2 linked regions of the Daphnia pulex genome follow. Each later gene encodes a partner of the first gene's protein in a complex. Links are inferred from orthologs where the notes say so. Each region holds a gene or a part of one and is shown in the gene's direction. Other genes may lie near its edges.

Evidence for each region.
Region 2: unc-112-related protein-like (region 1) and LIM and senescent cell antigen-like-containing domain protein 1 share a complex: the UniProt entries of both Caenorhabditis elegans proteins name them as parts of the integrin containing attachment complex. The link is inferred for Daphnia pulex from reciprocal best matches to the Caenorhabditis elegans genes unc-112 and unc-97.

The regions. Positions count from the first base shown.
Region 1 is NC_060028.1:2,205,986-2,210,391, reverse strand, and holds the start of unc-112-related protein-like, read left to right. Parts: upstream 1-1,471; 5' UTR 1,472-1,895; coding exon 1,896-2,037; intron 2,038-2,859; coding exon 2,860-3,380; intron 3,381-3,466; coding exon 3,467-3,699; intron 3,700-3,781; coding exon 3,782-4,171; intron 4,172-4,245; coding exon 4,246-4,406. Other genes in the region: cysteine-rich DPF motif domain-containing protein 1-like, read right to left, coding at 1-8; putative transferase CAF17 homolog, mitochondrial, read right to left, coding at 120-1,232. UniProt on the Caenorhabditis elegans protein: Component of an integrin containing attachment complex, which is required for muscle development and maintenance. Probable regulator of cell-extracellular matrix adhesion. Required during initial muscle assembly to form dense bodies and M-lines.
Region 2 is NC_060026.1:14,674,677-14,678,976, reverse strand, and holds LIM and senescent cell antigen-like-containing domain protein 1, read left to right. Parts: upstream 1-1,423; 5' UTR 1,424-1,564; coding exon 1,565-1,854; intron 1,855-1,934; coding exon 1,935-2,039; intron 2,040-2,100; coding exon 2,101-2,213; intron 2,214-2,279; coding exon 2,280-2,472; intron 2,473-2,532; coding exon 2,533-2,674; intron 2,675-2,735; coding exon 2,736-2,852; intron 2,853-2,916; coding exon 2,917-3,058; intron 3,059-3,122; coding exon 3,123-3,328; 3' UTR 3,329-3,774; downstream 3,775-4,300. Other genes in the region: protein SAND-like, read right to left, coding at 1-102, 166-302, 363-746. UniProt on the Caenorhabditis elegans protein: Component of an integrin containing attachment complex, which is required for muscle development and maintenance. Probably function in adherens junction.

The DNA.
Region 1 (4,406 bases):
CTGTCCATCTAAGGATAAGTGAAAAATCAAAAGTGGAACAGAGAAAAACATTGTATTGTAACAAATTGAAATGCCAAACACATGTAAAATGTATCTATTGTGGGGGTAGTCTTTTTATTTTAAGAGCTAGATTCAAGTTGGGCGCGATCTTTGGGCGCTTCAATGGGCCACCAAGCCGGTCGGTGGGTTTCGATTAGATTCGAGTCGATTTTCAATTGAGAAGAAGAGAGGGCTTGTTGTATCCGCAAGAGGCCGAGACCGTAAACTGATCCGTGAAGATATCCTCGTAGTTTTCCCACCCGTTGTCCGTTTTCATCAGAAATGGTCGATTCTAACTGGATGGAATCGGAAGGCTGTTGGAAGACAACCGGCATCAAACGTTTTCTGGTTACACCCGTGTGGTAAGTCCTGGCCGTAAGTTCCTGTCCCAAGTAGCACCCTTTATGGAAGCTGACGCCGTGCAGGTAGTCGCAATTACATTCGAGTGGGAAACATGTGCCGGGTGGCATATCTCGAGAGCCTTCTCCCACACCAAGTTTATATCTGAGTTCAGTGTATCGATCAGTGTTGTCCACGCAGAGATTCTTTATTAGGTGACTTAGACTTTTGTTGGAATCAACCAACACTCGCCATCCCAGTTCCTTGACTCTGGGATCTCGGGCTAAAATGACTTCATTACTGAGATCTTCGGGGGGCTGATCAAAGAGAACCCAAGGCTTCAGTGTTTCCTCTACAGAGATAACCACCTTCCTTCTGACTCTGAACATGGTGAGGTGTTTTGCTAGAGATTCCGAGCACTCTGCATCACATTCAATCAGGTAGCTGCCAGATTCTTTTGAAGAGTGGATGATGGCATCGTAAAGTATTCTTCCCTGCCGGTTGAGGAACATGCAGTACATGTTGGGATTGTTATCTTCGTCCAAGTGTTTGATATCGTTTGTCATAAGACCCTGAAGGTACGGACCGGCATCCACTCCAGAAACTTTGACGATTGCCCTTCCTTTGAGTTCCTGTGCGTTTACTGTGCATTTCTGGTGAACGCGTCGAACCGAACTAGCGGCCACCGATCTCAGAGCAACTGCTTGAATAGACCGCCACATGGACGAAACTTTTGGTAGAAGGGGAGTTAAAATTGTTATCGTACCTTGCAGAGAGAGATTGAGCTCGATTGTTGAGCAAGTCGTGGTCGATTCGATTTGTTTACAACTAAAATGTAGGAACTCCAGCGCCATCTGACGGTGCTTGAAAATGTTAGAAAATCTCCTAATCTAGTCGATCTAGTCCAAGGTTTTTTATTTTTGTTTATCAGGAGATCGAGATTGCTTTCATCAGTGCGATATTGAGATTATAATGGAATGGAATTCAAGGCAGTAAGTATGAATGTAAGCTCTCAACAAACTATTATATTATTTTGATTCACTTTTTTTTACGTTTCGTGATCGATTAAAAGTTTGAATCGATTGTTTAGATCTGGAAGTGGGATTTTAGGGTACCAAGGCGTTAGTTACACGACTCTCTCATACCGAGTCTGGATGAAACGTCGACTTGGTCTTACGGCCATCTGTTTATATTCCAACACTATTCACACACAAGGGTTGATTCGCCCCCTGAATAAGTGATCACCTCGACTGCGTCAAGATGTCAACTAGTGATTGAACAATTTTGGAACTGTTCATTCTGTCTGAAAAAGCCATCGAACTATTTGAGTGTGTGTGTGTGTGTTTGGTGTTGGAAAGGAGAAAAGAGTTGTGTGTGTGTGTGGGTTGCCCCGTTTGTGTTGCCCATGTTTGGTCACGGACGGGCATCGCCTCTCTCTTGGAAATTATTGTTTGGTGCTCTAAGCTACAGGTGCTCTGCTGCTGCCTTGTGAGAGAGAGAGAGAAGAAAAATTCAAGATGATTGCCGACGGACATTTGGTCGGTGACGGGAGCTGGGAATTGAAGGTGTTGGTGACTGACTTGTCGGTCGAGCGATGTCTCCGGGTCAAAGGTGACCTGCACATTGGTGGTGTTATGCTGCGTCTCGTCGAGGAATTAGGTATGCAATTATTTGTTGTCCTTGTTTGCCCATATTTGGGGATTCAACTGCGAGGCTGACATCATCACGCCCCAATTTCCCAGGCGTCTGTTTGCTTGCATTTAAAAGACATTATGGGGGGAGCCATCTTGTCCACATCTGAAATGAGTTCTTGGTCGCCCACTAGCAGCTACTAGTGCTCCCTCTGTCGGCCCAGTCTAGCGCAGACAGGAAAGAAAAAAGGCGGCATTTAAAAATAGCCTCCCCTCGCGTCACTCTCTCTTACAATGGATCTCTCTTGAAAAATAAAATAAAAACCCCTCTGAATATAAATATATTAAAAAATCAAATAAAATCCGACAAGTCCTAGAAAGGTTGCACTCCTCTCTCTTTGATTCCGCCGTTGGCAAAGGCTATAAGCGAAATAGGGCGGGCGATTGGAATGCACAGTCTGGTGATCGGTATTCTCATCACGTCAAGGATCACTTGAATGTTTATTTTTGAAAAAAAGTTAGTTTGTTGGAAACACCGTCAGCAGCTTGTGTTATGTGCACATATCGCGGTTCGGCGTAACATCCGGATGATTTTACCCAACCACAAACGTCTCTGATTTCAGAAACGAAATTATTCAGGACGACGCCCTTTTTTTGGCCACCATGACCCATTTCATTTCCGCCCCATATACACCACCACCACCACCCACCTGAATGTGTGTGTAATTTCACGCCCAACATCACGTGATCACAGTGATGGATGTTTTGGAATAATCAAAATTTATGACCCCCCACCAGTCTATTTTATATTCACATTTTGTTACATCTTATCTTCTTTTCGTATTTTTAGATATTGCGGCGGATTGGTCGGATCACGCTCTTTGGTGGCCAGCTCGGAACTGTTGGCTGTCCAGGACCCGTTCGACGCTGGATCAGTATGGCGTCCAGGCGGATGCTCTGCTGCATTTCACTCCCATGCACAAAACGCTGCGCGTCCAGCTGCCAGATTTGCGCTACTTGGATTGCCGGGTGGATTTCAGCGTCAAGACGTTCAACGCCGTCGTGACGCTGTGCAAGGAGCTCGGCATCCGGCATCCGGAGGAGCTGTCGTTCGCCAAGCCGCTCGAGTCTGACGATTTGCGCTACAATTATCGCGAACGCGAGTCCAACACGTCGCACAAGAAGCGGACGGTGGCCAACAATTCGGCCGACACCAACACGTTCATCGGTCACCACGGCAATTCGACTCACAGTTCCAACAACAGTTTGGACAACATTAAGGCCACCTCCGGATGTACGCCCGTCCTGCCCAACACGACCATCAATCGGTCCCCGGCTCCCGTACCCACGCCCATCAGCTCACCAGTTAATGTGAGTTGTTGTTGCCATGTATATTTTTTCACGTTTTTTGTCTTCATAATAATAATACTAATCATCATTATTTTCTCATCCATCAGTCGGGCACGTGGAGAAAGAATTCACCGTATTCGACTCCGGGCAGCAACGGCCACAATGCGACACCATCCATCTTTGACATGACTGCCAACAACAGCCTCAACACGACGGCCAACAGCAGTTTCTCCAATATGGATATGTCGCTGGCGCTCAGTCCGGCCACACCCAGCCAGGAGGCCCGATCCAGGCTTCTTCGACCCAAAAACTTGATCGAACGGGCTCGTCTTAATGTGGCGTGAGTTTCTCTTATCTATCCTAACCCACTTTTATAAAAAAATCAGACAATATTGATTTATTTCCCGCATTATTTTCATCAGTTGGCTGGACTCGTCCTTGTCCATCATGGAGCAAGGCGTGCGGGAATACAGCGCGCTCCTGTTGCGCTACAAATTCTACTCATTTTACGACCTGAATCCAAAGTACGACGCCGTGCGCATCAATCAGATTTACGAGCAGGCCAAATGGCAGTTGCTCAACGAGGAGATTGATTGCACTGAAGAGGAGATGCTCATGTTTGGAGCCCTTCAGCTCCAAGTGAATTTACAAAGTGCCCAGCCTCAGCCGCTGAGTGACACTCGTGACGGCGACGACGATATCGACGCCGCCCTGAGTGACCTCCAGGACACTCTGGAAGGCACCCACGTTCACAGCAACACTAGTGACATCACTTCCATACCGGAATTGTCGGATTTTCTTCGTTACATGAAGTAAATCGATTTTTTTATTCCCCCACATTCGTTTAATACTTATTTTATTTTATTTTTTTAAATTTGATTTAAAGGCCGAAACGTTTCACCTTAAAAGGCTTTAAACGTTATTGGTTCGTCTGCAAGGATTTACAATTGTTTGCCTTCAAGAATAAAGGAGAGTCGGGTTCCGGGCCAGCCCATCAGATCCCGTTACGAGGTTGCGAAGTCACTCCGGATGTCAATCTGTCGCAAG
Region 2 (4,300 bases), on another chromosome or scaffold:
CCAGCCAAAATCATATCCATGGAGTCTTCCCCATCTTCCACAAATGAAACAAGTGCCTGCATCACTCCAAATAAGGTAACAAGCTGCTCCTCATTTCCATGTCTGTAATTTAAAAAGGAAAACAATTAATTATAAAAAATGACAAATAGCTAATTCAAACCCAACCTTGTGTAGATGGGTTTTCCTGCTTCACTCAAGACAAAGAAATGTTTCTTTTGATTTTTCCACAGCAAGGAGTCTGATCCACTCTCTTCATCACCAGCAGCAGCTGGCAGGGAATTTTCTTCCAAGATTGATGAAGCCTGATTCATTAATGCTTTTTAACAAATCTTGAGGGGAGATTATTACTCAGTAAATCTCACATTGGTTGTACGTGATATGGAATCCTCATTTTGATTGCTGAAAGACTCTCGTTCTAAGTAGACCCTGGGCCGTACAAATTGTTGGTCTTGGTTATTGGAGACAAGATCTGATTCAAAAATCAAATCAGGTTGAGCTTCAACGGCAATTTCTAATAATCCGACATCACCGTTCTGAAAACCATCAGTACAACCGGGGTCTGCAGGAGGTTGTATGTTTAAGCTCACATCATTGGAATCACTATTTGTTCTGGTACCGCTTAAATTATTTAGACTTTCATATGGATCACTGCTGTCAAGAATTCCATGACTGGAGCTAGTAGCTGCATCAAAATTGTTAACCGAATTCGAAACAATAATTTCGCAATCTACTACTTCTGAAGCCATGTTTACTATCAAAATTATGCTTCTTACATCACCTGGCGGCGTGTTTTGAAGGGGCGTGTACAGAGGGCGGCGTTTAATGTCAGATGTCACAATAAAATGGGTTGAAGTTCCGATAATTGAAAAACGTCACAAATGCAGAGAAAATTAATTTTACAAAGGTAATGGTGTGCTTTTTATATACTGATATCGAAAAGACAACAATTAATTAATCGAGTTCGTTGAATGACCACCAGATGGCTCTACAAGTCAATCAAAACATTATAATACGGACCGGATGCAGTAAATCGTGGATTTAGAAGATGCGGTAAAATGATAAAGAAAAAGAAGGGAAATGTCTAAAACAACGATTTCGAAATTCGTCGGGGCTCAATCCGAATTAAGGTAAATTTTAAAAAATGCGAGAACCAAATGTTAATTTTTTTACAAGGAATTTTATCAATTTTAGCACATAGTATTTTTGCGTTTCTCTTAGCTTTTTTCCCGCATTTTAGTCCCTTTCACTTTTTTCACAAAATTATCTCCTTATTTGGGCTGATCTCTGAACGGGCGCGGTTTGTGTTGGTGTTAGCACCCGATTTCGTCCACAGGTCTCTACAATCTGTTGAAGTTCTTATAGTTATTGAGTTTATTTTATCGTTGTGTTCATTTCAAATGCCGCCTGGGTAAGCTATTGATAAGATAAATACTATTACTGATATTAATAAGCTCTTGAAGTGGCCACACATGAGATAACACATTTAGTTATCAATTGCCGTTCTTCACCCCATAAATTGCTGGACATTTCGGTTGTGTTCACTGAAGAAACTCCATTTTTCACCATGGCAAAAAGACCTAACATTCTTGTTCTTAAACCCTTTGAAAATAGTAACCTTTACCTTAGAAGAATGGAGGATAAGATGAAACCAAGTGCAAGTGCAAGTGAAGTAAATGAACTTGAGGGTTTGCTTGAAGACCTTACATCTAATGATGTTCCGAAGGGAATTCAAAATCAACCACTTCCTCAGATACCTAGCTTGAATTCAGTTCAAACTTACATTTTAAAAAATACTTATGCTAACAGCCCTCCTAAACTTCCTTCTAGAAACCTTAAACCTAGTAATATTGATAGGTATTGTGGTTTAACAGTTAGTATAGTAGATTTCACACATTCTGAATTTCAAGAAACTAATAATGGTTTGAACTTTAAAGCGATATGTACAAGAACACCCAATGTGTGAGGTGTGATTATGGTTTTGAGCCTCATGAAAAGATTGTCAATACAAATGGAGAGCTGTGGCATCCCCAGTGCTTTGTGTAAGTACTCACACCAACATTTTTACTTGAAATTGAATTCTAATTTCTTAATCTTTCACAGGTGCGCTCAATGCTTTCGCTCCTTTCCAGAAGGAATTTTTTACGAGTTTGAGGGTCGCAAGTATTGTGAGCATGATTTTCAGATGCTCTTTGCTCCTTGTTGCGGTCGCTGTGGTAAGCGTTAAATCGATTGACTAATTCATAGATTTTTAAATAATAACGCATTTTTTGTATTCTTAGGTGAATTTATCATCGGTCGTGTTATTAAAGCAATGAATGCCAATTGGCATCCCAAGTGCTTCCTCTGCGAGATGTGTGACAAAGAACTAGCCGACCAGGGGTTCATTCGTCACCAGAATAAGGCACTCTGCCACGATTGTAACGCTCGAGCAAAAGCCGCCAGCTTGGGAAAACATGTCTGCCATAAGTGCCAGTAAGTGCTGTGTATAGTTGAAAATTTCATCGGAATCTAAGGATCATTATTTTTATTTAGCTCTATGATTGATGATCGTCCGCTACGTTTCCGTGGCGAAGTCTATCATCCTTATCATTTCAACTGTTCGTCTTGCGGAATCGAACTCAACGCGGACGCACGTGAAGTTAAAAGCAGACCAGGTTTCACCGCTAATGAGATGGTATTTCACATTATTTTTTAACATTTAATATCTTTGTGACAATTGTTTAAAATTTACACAGAACGAGTTGTATTGCTTGAGATGCCACGACAAAATGGGTATTCCAATTTGTGGTGCTTGCCGTCGTCCAATTGAAGAGCGTGTCGTTACGGCGTTAGGAAAGCATTTTCATGTTGAGGTATAAAACTTAATGAAATCATCACAGGGATTAAATTTACCTATTACAATGGATTGATTTGTAGCATTTCGTATGCGCCAAATGCGAGAAACCGTTCTTGGGTAATCGCCATTATGAGAAGAAGGGTCTTGCCTATTGCGAAACCCATTATCATCAGCTTTTCGGCAATCTTTGCTTCGTTTGCAATCAAGTTATTGGAGGAGATGGTAAAGCATTTTATACATGTTCTTCTTTTAAGACATTAACACCTTGATTGGCTTTTCTTTTCAGTGTTTACCGCATTGAACAAAGCCTGGTGTGTTCACCATTTCGCTTGTTCGGTTTGTGACACAAAAATGTCGCAGAAAACCAAGTTCTACGAATTCGACTTGAAACCGACTTGTAAAAAATGTTTCGATAAATTTCCGGCTGAACTTCGGAAGCGTTTGAAGAAAGCTTACGAGACTAGCCCGAGGAAAAGCTCTGCAGCGAATTAGTATGGGAAAAATAAGTAACGAATCAACATAATTGGATTCGTTTTTTTTTCCGGCTCTTGTTTACCTTTTAATATTCTTACTCCTAGTAAATTACTAAATTGATAAATATGCTGAATTTTAAAATTCTTTTTCCTTCACAAGGTGCCTTGCTTTTACTGTATCAAAGATAAGACCACAAACTTTTTAATTACAAGTTAAGCGATTAATGACTTTACGTCTGCCGATTAGAGTAAGTACAAGAATTATTCATATTTAAATTCTACAGGATTTTCGTGTTTTTTTACTTCACTTCTCGCTTATTTCTGTAAGCTACAGTCACACTTTTAAAATGTTTCCCTCATTGAAATCACTTTCAAGTTCACAAAAAACAACAAAATATCTTAACAACTGCTGACGTGTCTTCCGAATAATGATTTTTAAACATGTAATAAACTAATAATCTCACAGTAGCGTTTACAATTTTATCAATGCGTTCACAGGTCATGAATGGGAAAAATCTGTTGTTCAAGATGCTAAGACAGACATTTACCTAAATGATAAGATCCACAATCATGATAGGTCACAAAAGAGAAGGCGCTCAAAATAGTCATGTAATAACTAAATTTCGATATTGATTAAATTTTAAGTTAATGCCGCTGCCGACGCAACGGAGATAAAGTTAAATTGAAAATGACATGAAAACTCATAAGAAGATATTACTTTTGAAATATGCACTGATGATATGAGATCAGTTAACCCGGCTCTTTATAATTTATTAATTCAAGTTTGTCTTGTTAGAAAATAGAGAAATAATCAAATTCGTTGTCGAGAATTGATCTTTGGAGAATTTGGACAAAAATGTAAAAATCTCCATTCTGTTGTAGGGTGAGCTAATAGCTAATAGCCTTTGGCGATTTTGGTGACCTTTTTTTTTGGAAATCATTTGTGAACAAAGTACGACGACTTATGAACGCACCCCGTAAAAAGGTGTAG